Arabidopsis thaliana: one gene and its partner. The protein of the gene in region 1 interacts with the protein of each later gene in a pairwise test. Each region holds a gene or a part of one and is shown in the gene's direction. Other genes may lie near its edges. The genes, in order: SCAB1 and AT2G32450.

Region 1 (7,256 bases):
TATTGACAAGCAAACGCAAATTCCAACAACTATTAAGATGAAGCAAACCTTTGCAGGAGCTCGTTCAAAAGCCATCTCAACATAGACAATAGCAAAGTTCCTAACCATAGGAGCAGCAGCAGGATCTGTGTACAATTTCCATAAAGCCAATAAAGGCAAACCAATTTCATGCTGATGCTTCACTCTCTTGTTAACATGACTCAATATCTCAAGAACCTGAAAAATGAAATCAACACACACTAAGAATCAATATGAAATCGTCAAACACTAAATTCAGAGGAAGAGCTCGTAAATCTCTGACTTGCCTTGTTGCGAACAACGGGAGATTGAGAAGAAAGAGAAGATATGGTAAGAGGAAGGAGGTTAGAGACTAGGGATTCGAGCTTGGAGTCGTCGCAAAGAGCGAGTCTCGTCAGCATCCGATCGAGCATTTCCTCCAACTCAGCGTCCGATTTGGAAATTAACGAAGACGAAGATGAAGAACCTTCCATAGCTAATCTCAGAAATTTGTTGAGTTGCAGAGATTTATCAGTGCTTCTTTGCTTCTTCTTTGGTTCTTCTCTTCTTATGCTTTTCCTTAGTCTCTCCCGTCTTGGCGGACAAGAGAACTATGGCTGGTCTAAACGACGTCGTGTTGTATCCCATTAGGCATATTGGGCCTCTAATCCACAGCCCATCCTAGCCCGCATTTGCCATTTTTCTCACAAGTCCTTTGGTTTTTTAGGCAACTTCTTGTTTTCAGCAATTTTATTGTTTGGCCGTGTTTGTCAGAGAAAATAACCCACCACTTGTGTGAGTTGAATGTCTCAAACAGACTAGTAGACTTCAATGATATTTATGGCAATGATTGAGTGGTATGGCCGAGAAACTAACAGGTATCATGCTGATGGGTTTGATAACCAACCAATTGAAATCCACTTTCACTCCTCTATTCAGGTTTGAGGCAATATCTTCATTGATTAAATCACAACCATTCCAGATTAAGCTTATATGTGGTAAGGTAACAATTTATTAAAAAAATTGTTCTTCTTCATGAGGACAGAGCCCGTAAAAGAGTTAGATAAGGTGGCTAACAACAATATACCAAAGGACTTTGTATATATGCAAGACTTTGTATAGGGCAAAAATATGCAAGATTTTGTTAACATGAAAGGTTTTTAGAGGTGATGCAAGATTTTGACATTTTTTGTTTGTACTATTTTTGTTGGATGATCCTATCTTTTTTTTTTTAATTTATCAAAAAGAAAAGCCTAATTTAGGATATTGTATGATTTAATTAAAATAGTTGTGGCTTTACTCGTGATTGGTGATCTTGTGATTGGTGGGTTTTGAGAAGTTTTGCCTCGCTTCTTGTCCTTCTTTTACAATTTTGTCGTAATCTGATTGTTTTTTGAAGGATTCTATCTAGACGTTAAGTGACGAATTGGTGGTCATCGTCGTATCTGGAATGGTGTTTGTGTTTCTTTTAGTGGTCTTGCATGTCGGGTTATGATATCCTTGGTTCTCGAGAGATTGGCTCTCAACGTGATAGGAGGTGGTAAATGTTATTTTGGATTTGATCAATCGTACTTGCAGGTGTGTTAAAAGAAGTGGAGTTTCTGCTTTGTTGGATCTCTTATTTTTTTAAGATTTTGTCTTGTTAATATGGATCTTAGTTTGTACTATCGTCCTTTTTCGAGATTGGTTTGATATTTTCTGCATTATAATTTGAGTTTACTTCATCTTCTTTATTTAGGATCTAGATTCCGAAGAATTCTCTTTTTCCGCCAGCTTATGTTTTTTTGGGAACTTATAGTTTATCCGCCAATTTACGTTTTTTTTGTTTGGGCATTATATTTTACGTCTTTCACAACAAGATTCTATAATTTCTTTATGACAAAAAAAAAAATAAAAAGTAAAAAAAAATAAATCCCCATGACCAAAAAAAGTTTTGGCTTTACCAAATTTGTGTAAGAAAGGTCTAAGTTTCACACCAAACCACTCTTATTAGTGTCATCATTTTGATTACTTTCCCTTTTAAAAAACAATTAAAAAGAATATCGTGGCAGTTAAACACGAAACAGAACCCGTGACCGCTCTGTGATTTTTAAGTTTCAGACAACAACAGTCCGACAGCGACACACATCAACCGGAGTTGAAAATTATGCAACAATTTATTACCTAAACCAGAAAAACTTTTAAACAAAACTAAATTAAAAAAAAAAGAAAAAAAGAAAAAAGACAGTGTTTCCACCAAAGCCACAATTTTTTCACGGTCTTTGCTTTTTAGTAAAGCTAATGCTTACGACTCTCTCAAACTTCACTTTTTGCCTTCTCCTCAGACCAAATCTTCTTCTTCTTCCTTCTCTGTTCTCGACGACCTTCTCAAATTCGATCTCAACTCAAAACATTTGTCTGATCCATTAATCGGATTCAGGTGAGAAGTGTTTAGCTTTGTTCTCTTGAAAATCTCCGACGTTGTTCGTGATTATTGCAGTATTTTGTGTTCTGATTTTCGATTTCAAGTTCTTAAAATTTGACTTTCAATTTCTATCTTCTTTGAAATTTGTTACTAAATTGGTATATGGGTAGTTGTTGTTAGCTCTTTTGTTTGGTAATCTAGGGTTTTGACATCCATCAATTCTTTATCTCTGTAGCTATAAAATGTTTTTAAATGTGTGTTGAATCCATTGTTATTTCCAACATTGGCGTAGGTACTGAAAAAAACAATGTTTTGTTTTTGTTGTTTTAGATTTTTGTGAAGATTCAACAACAGATCTGTGAGTCCATTGGAGTATATTACTATTCATAGTGGTTAGACATCTACTAGCATTTTCTGTCTTTTATTTTGTTTTTGTCTAAGCATTTTTGGTTTTGTTTATAAACAGATACAATGACAAGGGTTACACGCGATTTTCGGGATTCATTACAGAGAGATGGTGTTCCTGCAGTATCAGCAGATGTGAAATTTGCTTCAAGTAGATTTCCTAATTATAGAATTGGAGCTAATGATCAAATATTTGATGTTAAAGACGATCCTAAAGTGATGTCCATGAAAGAGGTTGTTGCGCGTGAGACAGCGCAGCTTATGGACCAGCAGAAACGTTTGTCTGTTCGTGACCTCGCTCATAAATTTGAGAAGGGTTTGGCTGCAGCTGCTAAGCTATCTGAGGAGGTCTGATATTATTCTCTTTTTGTTGAGGTCTTATAGATGAAATGTGTCTCTTGTATTGTTACTATCTTTGGTTACTATGTAATGAGTTGATTTGCACATTTATGTTAGTTTTTGTGTTGATTGAGTCTACTAAATAGGATTTAATAAGAGGGATTTTAATTCGGTGATAACCTTACTTTTTGTTAGCAAAGAATTTTTTGTTGTTATAAATACAGAAATAGGGGATCAAGAAGGCTAATCTAGGTTGCTAAAGTGAAAATATGATATGATTGAAAAAAAAATTTAAGGCTAATTTGGTTGGGAACGAATGCAGGCAAAACTCAAAGAAGCAACTTCGTTGGAGAAACATGTTCTTTTAAAGAAACTTCGAGATGCATTGGAGTCTCTAAGAGGACGTGTGGCAGGTAGAAACAAGGATGATGTAGAGGAAGCCATTGCCATGGTTAGTCTTTTACTCTTTTATAGTCTTTTAGTCATCATATTTAGCTCCGTTCCTTTACATGGTGATATATATCGCCTCTAGCCTTTTCTACAAACCGAAATGTGTTTTTTTCCATTTTCAGTTCTGCGTTCTTAAATTGTCTCACAATCCCCATTACCAACATTTTTCCCTTCCACCTCTATATCTTAAGTATGTTTGGAATTTTGAATTCTGCTAGGTTGAAGCTCTAGCTGTTCAGTTGACTCAGCGAGAAGGAGAGCTATTCATAGAAAAAGCGGAAGTGAAAAAGCTAGCGTCTTTTTTAAAGCAGGTAAAGTGTGCCTTTGAGACAGTGACAATATTTTCTTTTCTCGTGTCACTTGAGGTGAATAGTTAGGAGACGTCTATGTCATTTCACTTGAAACAACCAAGTCCTCTAAAATAGCAAATACGTTTTCGTCCACGGCTTAATACCATGCAGTTTTTGTTAGTCCTTGAGCTAACCAGATGATTAAGAGAGAGTCTGTCCTTTTTGTTTTCATTTGAGTAGTTTATATTCTATTACTTTTGACAAAGAACTATGATGTAGTTTCTTTACAGACATAATCTTTCACTTACTATTCTTGATTCTTTTTCTTATCTTGCTTGGGACATTTGTATTAGTCTTCTGTTGTCGGTTGTAAATTAGTGGTTACTAGATGGGCTAGCTTGAAAAAGATGCAGATGTGTTCTAATAATCTTGCTGATTAGTGGGTATGATTTTTTAACTAGGCCTCAGAGGATGCTAAGAAACTTGTCGACGAGGAAAGAGCGTTTGCACGTGCTGAGATTGAAAGTGCAAGAGCAGCTGTACAAAGAGTTGAAGAAGCCCTGCGAGAACATGAACAGATGTCTCGTGCCTCTGGGAAACAAGTATTTTAGTGATGGCTTCTATCATAATCTTGTAAATGTCCTATGCTTATAACATTGATTCGTGTTAACAGAGTATTGTTATAATTTATCGTATCAGGACATGGAAGATCTAATGAAGGAAGTTCAAGAAGCTAGGCGGATTAAAATGCTGCATCAACCAAGCAGGGTAGGTAGATGAAAGATGGTTTATCTCTTGGGTTTAAATGGCTTTATCTGTCTGTCTAAGTCGATGCTTCTTTAGTATCTTATGTTGTTTTTAAAAAGTCAAATCATGTGTATTGTTTTAGGTAATGGATATGGAATATGAGCTTCGAGCACTAAGAAATCAGCTTGCAGAGAAATCAAAACATTTTCTTCAACTACAAAAGAAGGTTAGTTGGATCCATATTCCATACACATATATATTCTATTTAGTGCATTCCAGGTCCTTTTGATGTCTTAACTTCCACATTTGTGACTGTATGCGGTTGACAAATAGTGGATTCTGATACTATATACATTTTTCTATGATTCAGCTCGCAATGTGCAGAAAGAGCGAGGAAAATATATCCCTTGTATATGAAATAGATGGCACTGAAGCTCTAGGATCTTGTTTGCGAGTTAGACCTTGCTCCAATGATGCACCTGATCTTTCCAAGTGTACGATACAATGGTACCGTTCATCTTCAGATGGCTCCAAGAAGGAGCTTATATCAGGTCCACTCACCTTTCTCATTGTTTTCTTTCTCTTATTATATTTGAGTTTTAAAATGTTCTGTTCTGTGAGCTAGTCGATTACAAATCAGATTGTTTCTTCTAACTAATGATTTTGGAATTGTGAACAATATATTTCCAAAGGCTGGTGTAAATAGGGCAAAATCAAGTTTAACATTGTTCCCATTGAGGAAAATGTTTCCTAACTATGTTCCTATCTCAGGTGCCACAAAATCAGTTTACGCTCCCGAGCCTTTTGACGTTGGACGAGTCTTGCATGCAGATATCATCTACGATGGCCATTCGCTTTCGTTATCCACAGTGGGAAAGATTGATCCAGGTTCATTGTTATGTTATTTACTGTAAAAGGTTATTGTTTATGTCAACATGATCAAATGGTTTGTGTAGGTTCTGTCACTTAGTAGATATTACTTAACTTTGACAAATCAACAAACACGGTCCTGATTTTCGTCATTACTAGATGATTTATCAAACATAACAAAGTCTTGATTTGGTGCAGCTGCTGGATTGGGTAGCTATGTCGAGGCATTAGTACGGAAACACGATGTTGATTTCAATGTAAGGTTTCTCTAACACTCGGAATTAGTATTTATATATTTGGTGCTTGTATGTATATTATATTTCCCCTTATTGTAATTTACAGGTAGTTGTGACCCAAATGAGTGGGGAAGACCATACATCAGAATCTATCCACTTGTTTCATGTTGGTAAAATGAGGATAAAACTTTGCAAGGGAAAGACAGTGATTGCAAAAGAGTACTACTCTAGTGCAATGCAGGTAAGGATACTACTTTACCCCGAGAAAATTGTCATATTTTTAGTGTTACACGGTGAGATCTATAATATCATAATCTTTGATGATCATATTGAGTAGCTATGTGGAGTGAGAGGAGGTGGAAATGCTGCAGCTCAGGCATTGTATTGGCAGGCGAAGAAAGGAGTGTCATTTGTGATAGCTTTTGAGTCTGAGAGAGAAAGAAACGCTGCGATCATGCTTGCACGAAGATTTGCTTGTGATTGTAATGTAAGTATAACTAAGATGGAGTTAGAAACTTTGGTTTTTGTAGAGAGAGGTGTTGATGTAAGTATGAAACTGATGTGTTGCAGGTGACACTTGCTGGTCCAGAAGACAGAACAGAGACGGGTCAAAGCCCTTGAAGAACGGCTCTTACCTAAGTTGTGATTTTTAGTATCCGTAAGAGCTTATTTGTTTTGTAGTTTATATAGGTTTTAGGCATTTGTTTGAATTGTACTTGTATTGTGTGTAAAAATATCGAGCAGTGAAGTAAGAGGTGATGGTGAATCTATATGTAACGGGTGGCTTGTGTTTATTCATTTGTTTTGATCTTACTTGCCCTTGAGGTAATATAACGGATTGCTTGTTTTGGACTGGATCCCAAAGCATACAATATATTGCAAGTGAATCACAGCCAAAATCCTGCAACAAACCCGAAAATCCATGATCGTCGATCATTCTCACTAACCGATCTCACAGAGATTCCAATGTTAAAACCAAACAACAACAAAAAGATAGAACAAAAGAGAGAGATCATCACAACTACATGATCAACAACTAAAGTAGACTAGGGTTTTGTTCCTTCATGCACAAGAAACAGTTAAGTTGTCATGCGAAGGAAGAAGAGCAAACCACATTGGTCCACCGTCCACCTCATCACTCTTCCTTCTGCGAATCCAGCTGCCCTTAGATGCATATCAAATTTAACATGTGACAAAGTCACAAAGTTTTGATATAGTGGAACTACACAAAAGTAGTGTTATCGCAATTGTCTCATCAACAAAGCCAACACTAACCCTCAAAATCAAAAAGCTCGATTTAGAGGTTTGAAACGCAGTTTCGAAGGAAGAGAGGAAAAAAACGGGAATGAATATATATCCAAGTGATTTATGGTTTTTAGATTCGTCAATAAACGAATTTATGTCTTTAGATTAGTAACCAAAGATTTCATTTTAACTAGAAGATATCTGTGACAAAAAGAGTTAAAAATTCCAAAACGTAATTTGAGGAATCCAAGGAAACTGAAGATAAATGAAACC
Region 2 (5,508 bases), 2.4 Mb from region 1:
GAGCATGTCATGGATTCATTGGAACGGGAGTATACCAACCTTAACTATGGAGTTCGAGCAATGGGTATTAATCTTCCTGGGTTTGCTTATCATAGAGCTTTGAAGGTAAAACATTCAACAACCTCTTGTTTCCACTTGTGCATATCTCTTGGGATTTGAAGAGTAGTATTTTCCACTTATACAGGCAAGGAAAAAACTTGTAGCTGCCTTTCAGTCCATAGTGACTAACCGAAGAAATCAAAGGAAGCAGAATATTTCATCCAATAGAAAAGATATGCTGGATAATCTAATAGATGTTAAAGATGAAAACGGAAGAGTCTTAGATGATGAGGAAATTATTGACCTTTTGTTGATGTATCTTAATGCGGGTCATGAATCTTCTGGACACCTCACTATGTGGGCTACCATTTTGATGCAAGAACACCCTATGATTCTGCAAAAGGCTAAGGTAAATTAGAAGATATGTTTCACAATTTCAGTTTATACTCTTGAGTTGTGATATTCGTTGTACCATAGGAAGAACAAGAGAGGATCGTAAAAAAGAGAGCACCGGGACAGAAGTTGACGCTTAAAGAGACACGTGAAATGGTGTATCTTTCTCAGGTCAAGTTTCTGCCTCATTGCAACGTAATTTTTGGTGTTTATAACATTGTATGAGTTGTTACAGTCTTTTACTGATGGAAAGAGCTTTTTATCAGGTTATTGATGAGACCCTTCGAGTAATTACATTCTCTCTGACGGCCTTCAGGGAAGCAAAGAGTGATGTCCAAATGGATGGTCAGTAATCAGTATACTCATTACCTACATGGAACATGGTAAATCATCTTAATTTTTTATTATACTCATTTCTCATGTCTCTTCTTTCAGGCTATATAATTCCAAAAGGCTGGAAGGTTCTGACTTGGTTTAGGAACGTCCATTTGGACCCTGAAATCTACCCGGATCCAAAGAAATTTGATCCTTCAAGATGGGAGGTACGTAGAGATAAGCATTCTACAATGAAATGTCTTTGTAACTGTATTTGGTGATGCCGTCTCTTATATGTCAAAAGTATCTGAACATTGTCTGGTTCCTTCTACAGGGATACACACCAAAAGCAGGCACATTCCTTCCTTTTGGTTTGGGAAGCCACCTATGCCCGGGAAACGATCTTGCCAAGCTCGAGATTTCCATTTTTCTTCATCATTTCCTCCTCAAATACCGGTAACTTCCTCTCTCTCTGTATATAGCTCAGCTTTCAAGTTATCACTCTGCATGCAGAATCGTAATGTTTTGTTTCCAATGGCATAATCACAGGGTGGAAAGGAGCAATCCCGGATGTCCGGTGATGTTCTTGCCTCACAATCGACCCAAAGATAATTGCCTAGCAAGAATCACCAGAACGATGCCATAATCATCATCTTCAAACTAGTAGACCCCTTAGCAAATATATAAGCTTCGTCTCAGGTTTCCATTGTCTTCATCTTCTCTTAGAACTTGATCCAAACCGGTTCGGTTTGTGAATTTGGTTTACTAGGATGTATCAATAGTTTGAAGGATTTGTCAAAGTAATGTTGAAATTTTTCTCTGGTTTAGCTTCAAATTTGGTTATAAAAAAGTAAAATCGAATTTCTTGAAATAAAACCTAGCTTGATTACCACATCAAGGTTAGTGTGAATTGATTAAACTAATATCAAGGTTTGTTCTTTATTTCGCATTTATTAGCCAATAATGCGTCATTTTATCTCTTCTCTATCACATTTTCTAATTACAAGTGGAGAATTGACTTCTTCAATAAATATTCAATTTATTGGTATTGACTATTGAACTATTTATATAGTTGTACTTACTTTTCTCGAATTTTAAAAAAAAAATTAGAAAGACAAATATTTCGTAAGAATTAATCAAAATAATAAAAGATAGAGTTAAGCCCACAACAGCAGAGTACAACAACACCGTTATCTCCTGTCCACTATCTCTGAGTTTTTTTTAAGACACAGAGAGACAACAAATAGACAGCTCGGACTCTTGTACCACTTTGATTTCTTCTTCATTTCTTAAATTTAGCAACTTTTTTTCACAATACAAACCAGAGGATTAAGTAGCTTCTCTCAACAAAGCTTCGAAATTGATCCGTAATTAGTGTTCAATTTCGTGTTTTTTCCTACATTGGATTCTCACTTTTAGATTTTGTGGGGAGGGAAAGATAAAAGGTTGGATTTTTATTTTTCCGGTGAGGAAAAAATGACGACGAGAGGAAGCAGATCGGAGAAAGTCAAGAGAATTTTCCAGCAATTCGACGGGAATCTCGACGGAGGATTAAGCCGTGAAGAGATGTCAGCTCTCGTCGTAGCTGTGAACCCTAGGGTTAAATTCAGCGACGAACAGATAAGCGCAATTCTCGATGAAGTGTTTCGAACCTACGCTGAATTCATCGACGGAGATAAAGGTTTGACCTTTGACGGTCTTCTCCGAACTTACGACGACGGTGCTGGAGATGTTGATCGTGATTTCGACGCTTTAGGGATTGAGTTTAACGAAGAGACAAAGGGTGCCTCTGAAGCTTCGTCATCTTCGATTACTGATGAGAGAGCTGTTGAAGCGCAGAAGCAGCAGAGAACGGCAGCTTGGGCGGTTTCGCCGAACCATGGTATTGTTTTCGATGAGACGTGGAAGCTTGTTGATGATTTGGAGATTTTGGTTAAGAGATTGAAGTCTAAGCAGGAGAAAGATGGGAAATTGAAAGTGGATAATAATAATGTTGATGCGTTTTCTGAAGCTGGATGGTCTAGAGAGTTAGGACCGTCTTCGGATATTTCGGATAAGAGAATCTATTGGGAAGAATCGAGTCATGATTATGGAGTGTTTGTGAAGGAATTAGGTGTGTTGAGAAGTAAAGCAGATGGTGCTAGATCAAGAGAAGAAGCTTTTGATGGACATATGGCGATTGGTAAGGTTTTGTATGAGCACCAGTTGTTTAAAGAAGCTCTTGTTAGTTTTAAGAGAGCTTGTGAGTTGCAACCGACTGATGTGAGACCTCATTTCAAAGCTGGGAATTGTCTTTATGTATTGGGGAAGTATAAAGAGTCGAAAGACGAGTTCTTGTTGGCGTTGGAAGCTGCGGAGTCTGGTGGGAATCAATGGGCTTACTTGCTTCCTCAGATTTATGTCAATCTTGGTATCTCTCTTGAAGGTGAAGGTATGGTTTTGAGTGCTTGTGAGTATTATAGAGAGGCTGCGATTCTTTGTCCAACGCATTACAGAGCCTTGAAGCTTCTAGGTAGTGCTCTGTTTGGTGTAGGAGAGTATAGAGCTGCTGTGAAGGCTTTAGAGGAAGCTATATATTTGAAACCGGATTATGCTGATGCGCATTGTGATTTGGCTTCGTCGCTTCATGCAATGGGGGAGGATGAGAGGGCTATTGAGGTTTTCCAGAGAGCTATAGATTTGAAACCTGGTCATGTTGATGCTCTTTATAACCTCGGTGGGCTTTACATGGATTTGGGTAGGTTTCAAAGAGCTTCAGAGATGTACACTAGAGTTTTAGCGGTGTGGCCTAACCATTGGCGTGCACAACTCAACAAGGCTGTGTCCTTGTTGGGTGCTGGAGAGACCGAAGAAGCTAAAAGGGCTTTAAAGGAGGCCCTGAAAATGACTAACCGAGTTGAGTTGCACGATGCGGTATCTCATCTGAAACAGTTGCAGAAGAAGAAAAAGGTCAAAAAAGGAAATAGTGCTAACGAAGAAGGTCCGTTTATTGTTGTGGAATCTTCCAAATTCAAGACGGTAGGCGAGAAGACTACTTTAAGGCCAGATTTAGCCATAGCTCTTCAAGTTAGAGCCTTCCAGAGAGTCACAAGGCTGTGGAAATGCGATGTTGAAGCATTAAGAAGAGAGATGAGAGACAACAATGTTCCTGTATCCTATTCCGGCAATGGAATTCCCACAAAATCTATAAGGAGACCAAACTTAGAAGAGATTCTCCGGCGTCTGCTTAATGTCCTGAAACCTGAAACTTTCCAAGGAGCTATTAAGGCCATAAACGAGAAAATCCTCTCGGTTCTTGATGATTCAGGGTCGGGAAGAGTCGATTTGGGAATGTTTTACGCAGTGATTGCTCCTTTATGCGGTGGCCATCCAGACAAAAGGAAAAGAGTTGCATTTGATGCGCTACTTTGGAAACCGGTAAACGAAGGAAGCTCTCAGATTACAAAAATGGAAGCCGTCAAATACATCAAACTCTTGAGAGCTATCTACATACCATCACAAGGAATGAGTGAAATGTTAGAAGTTCATGGAGAAAGCGATGATACTTCGACGGTAACATTCAACCAGTTTCTAGAGATGTACGATGATTCAGAGTGGGGATTTGGTATCATGTCGACTGTTTTTAAACTCGAAACAAGAGATAGGAATCGACACGGGAACCAGGTTTGTTCAGTTTGCCGATATCCGATTATCGGGTCTCGGTTTAAGGAAGTGAAAACAGGGTTTAGCCTCTGTAACCAATGTTACAGCGAAGGGAAGATTCCTCCAACGTTTAAACAGCAGGAGGAATATAAATTCAGAGAGTATGCGAGTGAAGTGGAAGCCATGAAAGCTAAGTGTGTTTGTTTTTCAATGCAATCTCATAAAAAAACAATAGCCACTTGAAAAATATCCATAAGTTTTTTTTTTTGGTGGTATAATTCAATTTCCACAGTTCTTGTTTCTTAAATCTTAATCTGTAGTCTTTTTTTCTTAAGTTGTGTGTATAGTTTTGATGTAGTGTGTGTTGGTGAGCAAGTATGATTGATGATTTCTTGTTGTATTTTTTTTATTTTCCACTCAATTTCAGATTAATATGATTTTGTCGATGGTCGTGAATGGAATAAACTGTATTCAGTTTCTAGAATGTAATTTCTGACATTTTCAGGCTTGGCCAGTTTCTGACTTTCTTGTCAGATTCAGAATTTCATAGCATCTGTAGTCATTTGCATATTGATGCTAAATTTGGAATGAGTGCTTTTTCAGCTTTTTATCTTTTAGTACTACTTTTTTCTCGCATTGTGCTATTTGATTCAGTATTATTATATGAAATGACATTTTAGAGAAGGAATTATTACTATATTTTGAGGAACTTAAGAAGAAAGAAAACTGTAGAGTGAGTGACATCAATATATCCAGATAAAGTAAAGTGAAAATGTAGAAATAAAGAGACTTCTGATCCAAGAACTGCAGTGTGATGTCAGAACTCAGATAAGGTGCAAGTACAAAGATTAAGGAACCTCATAAGAAAAAATATGTTATGGACCTACTTGCATACATAATTATTATCTTTTCTTTCTTTGGGAGCCGCAATTTAAGGAAATTATTTCTTGGAATAGTGTGAAATAATATGCAAATGACATAAGCCAATGGCAATGGATGCAACTAGTTGGTTCACTGCCCAATCACATTCTCCTCCCCCATTTTCTACTCTCGAGCTCTTACTTGTTTCTTACGTTTGTTATAGTAATTCTCCTAAATAAAAGTCAAGTACACATCCAA

The links.
Region 2: the proteins of SCAB1 (region 1) and AT2G32450 interact in a two-hybrid assay, tested with the Arabidopsis thaliana proteins (one large-scale study listed by BioGRID).

The regions. Positions count from the first base shown.
Region 1 is NC_003071.7:11,403,360-11,410,615, reverse strand, and holds SCAB1 (plectin-like protein), read left to right. Parts: upstream 1-2,194; 5' UTR 2,195-2,416; intron 2,417-2,731; exon of another isoform or gene 2,732-2,793; intron 2,794-2,867; 5' UTR 2,868-2,872; coding exon 2,873-3,154; intron 3,155-3,467; coding exon 3,468-3,596; intron 3,597-3,813; coding exon 3,814-3,906; intron 3,907-4,346; coding exon 4,347-4,487; intron 4,488-4,584; coding exon 4,585-4,653; intron 4,654-4,774; coding exon 4,775-4,858; intron 4,859-5,002; coding exon 5,003-5,183; intron 5,184-5,403; coding exon 5,404-5,520; intron 5,521-5,700; coding exon 5,701-5,759; intron 5,760-5,844; coding exon 5,845-5,979; intron 5,980-6,075; coding exon 6,076-6,225; intron 6,226-6,308; coding exon 6,309-6,359; 3' UTR 6,360-6,637; downstream 6,638-7,256. Other genes in the region: AT2G26780 (ARM repeat superfamily protein), read right to left, coding at 49-216, 306-491. UniProt on the Arabidopsis thaliana protein: Plant-specific actin binding protein that bundles and stabilizes microfilaments (MFs). Has no nucleation or capping activity. Regulates MF reorganization during stomatal closure. The binding to F-actin is insensitive to Ca(2+) and pH.
Region 2 is NC_003071.7:13,776,391-13,781,898, forward strand, and holds AT2G32450 (Calcium-binding tetratricopeptide family protein), read left to right. Parts: upstream 1-1,929; 5' UTR 1,930-2,223; coding exon 2,224-4,632; 3' UTR 4,633-5,008; downstream 5,009-5,508. Other genes in the region: KAO2 (ent-kaurenoic acid hydroxylase 2), read left to right, coding at 1-105, 185-448, 517-603, 699-777, 868-974, 1,082-1,203, 1,297-1,393.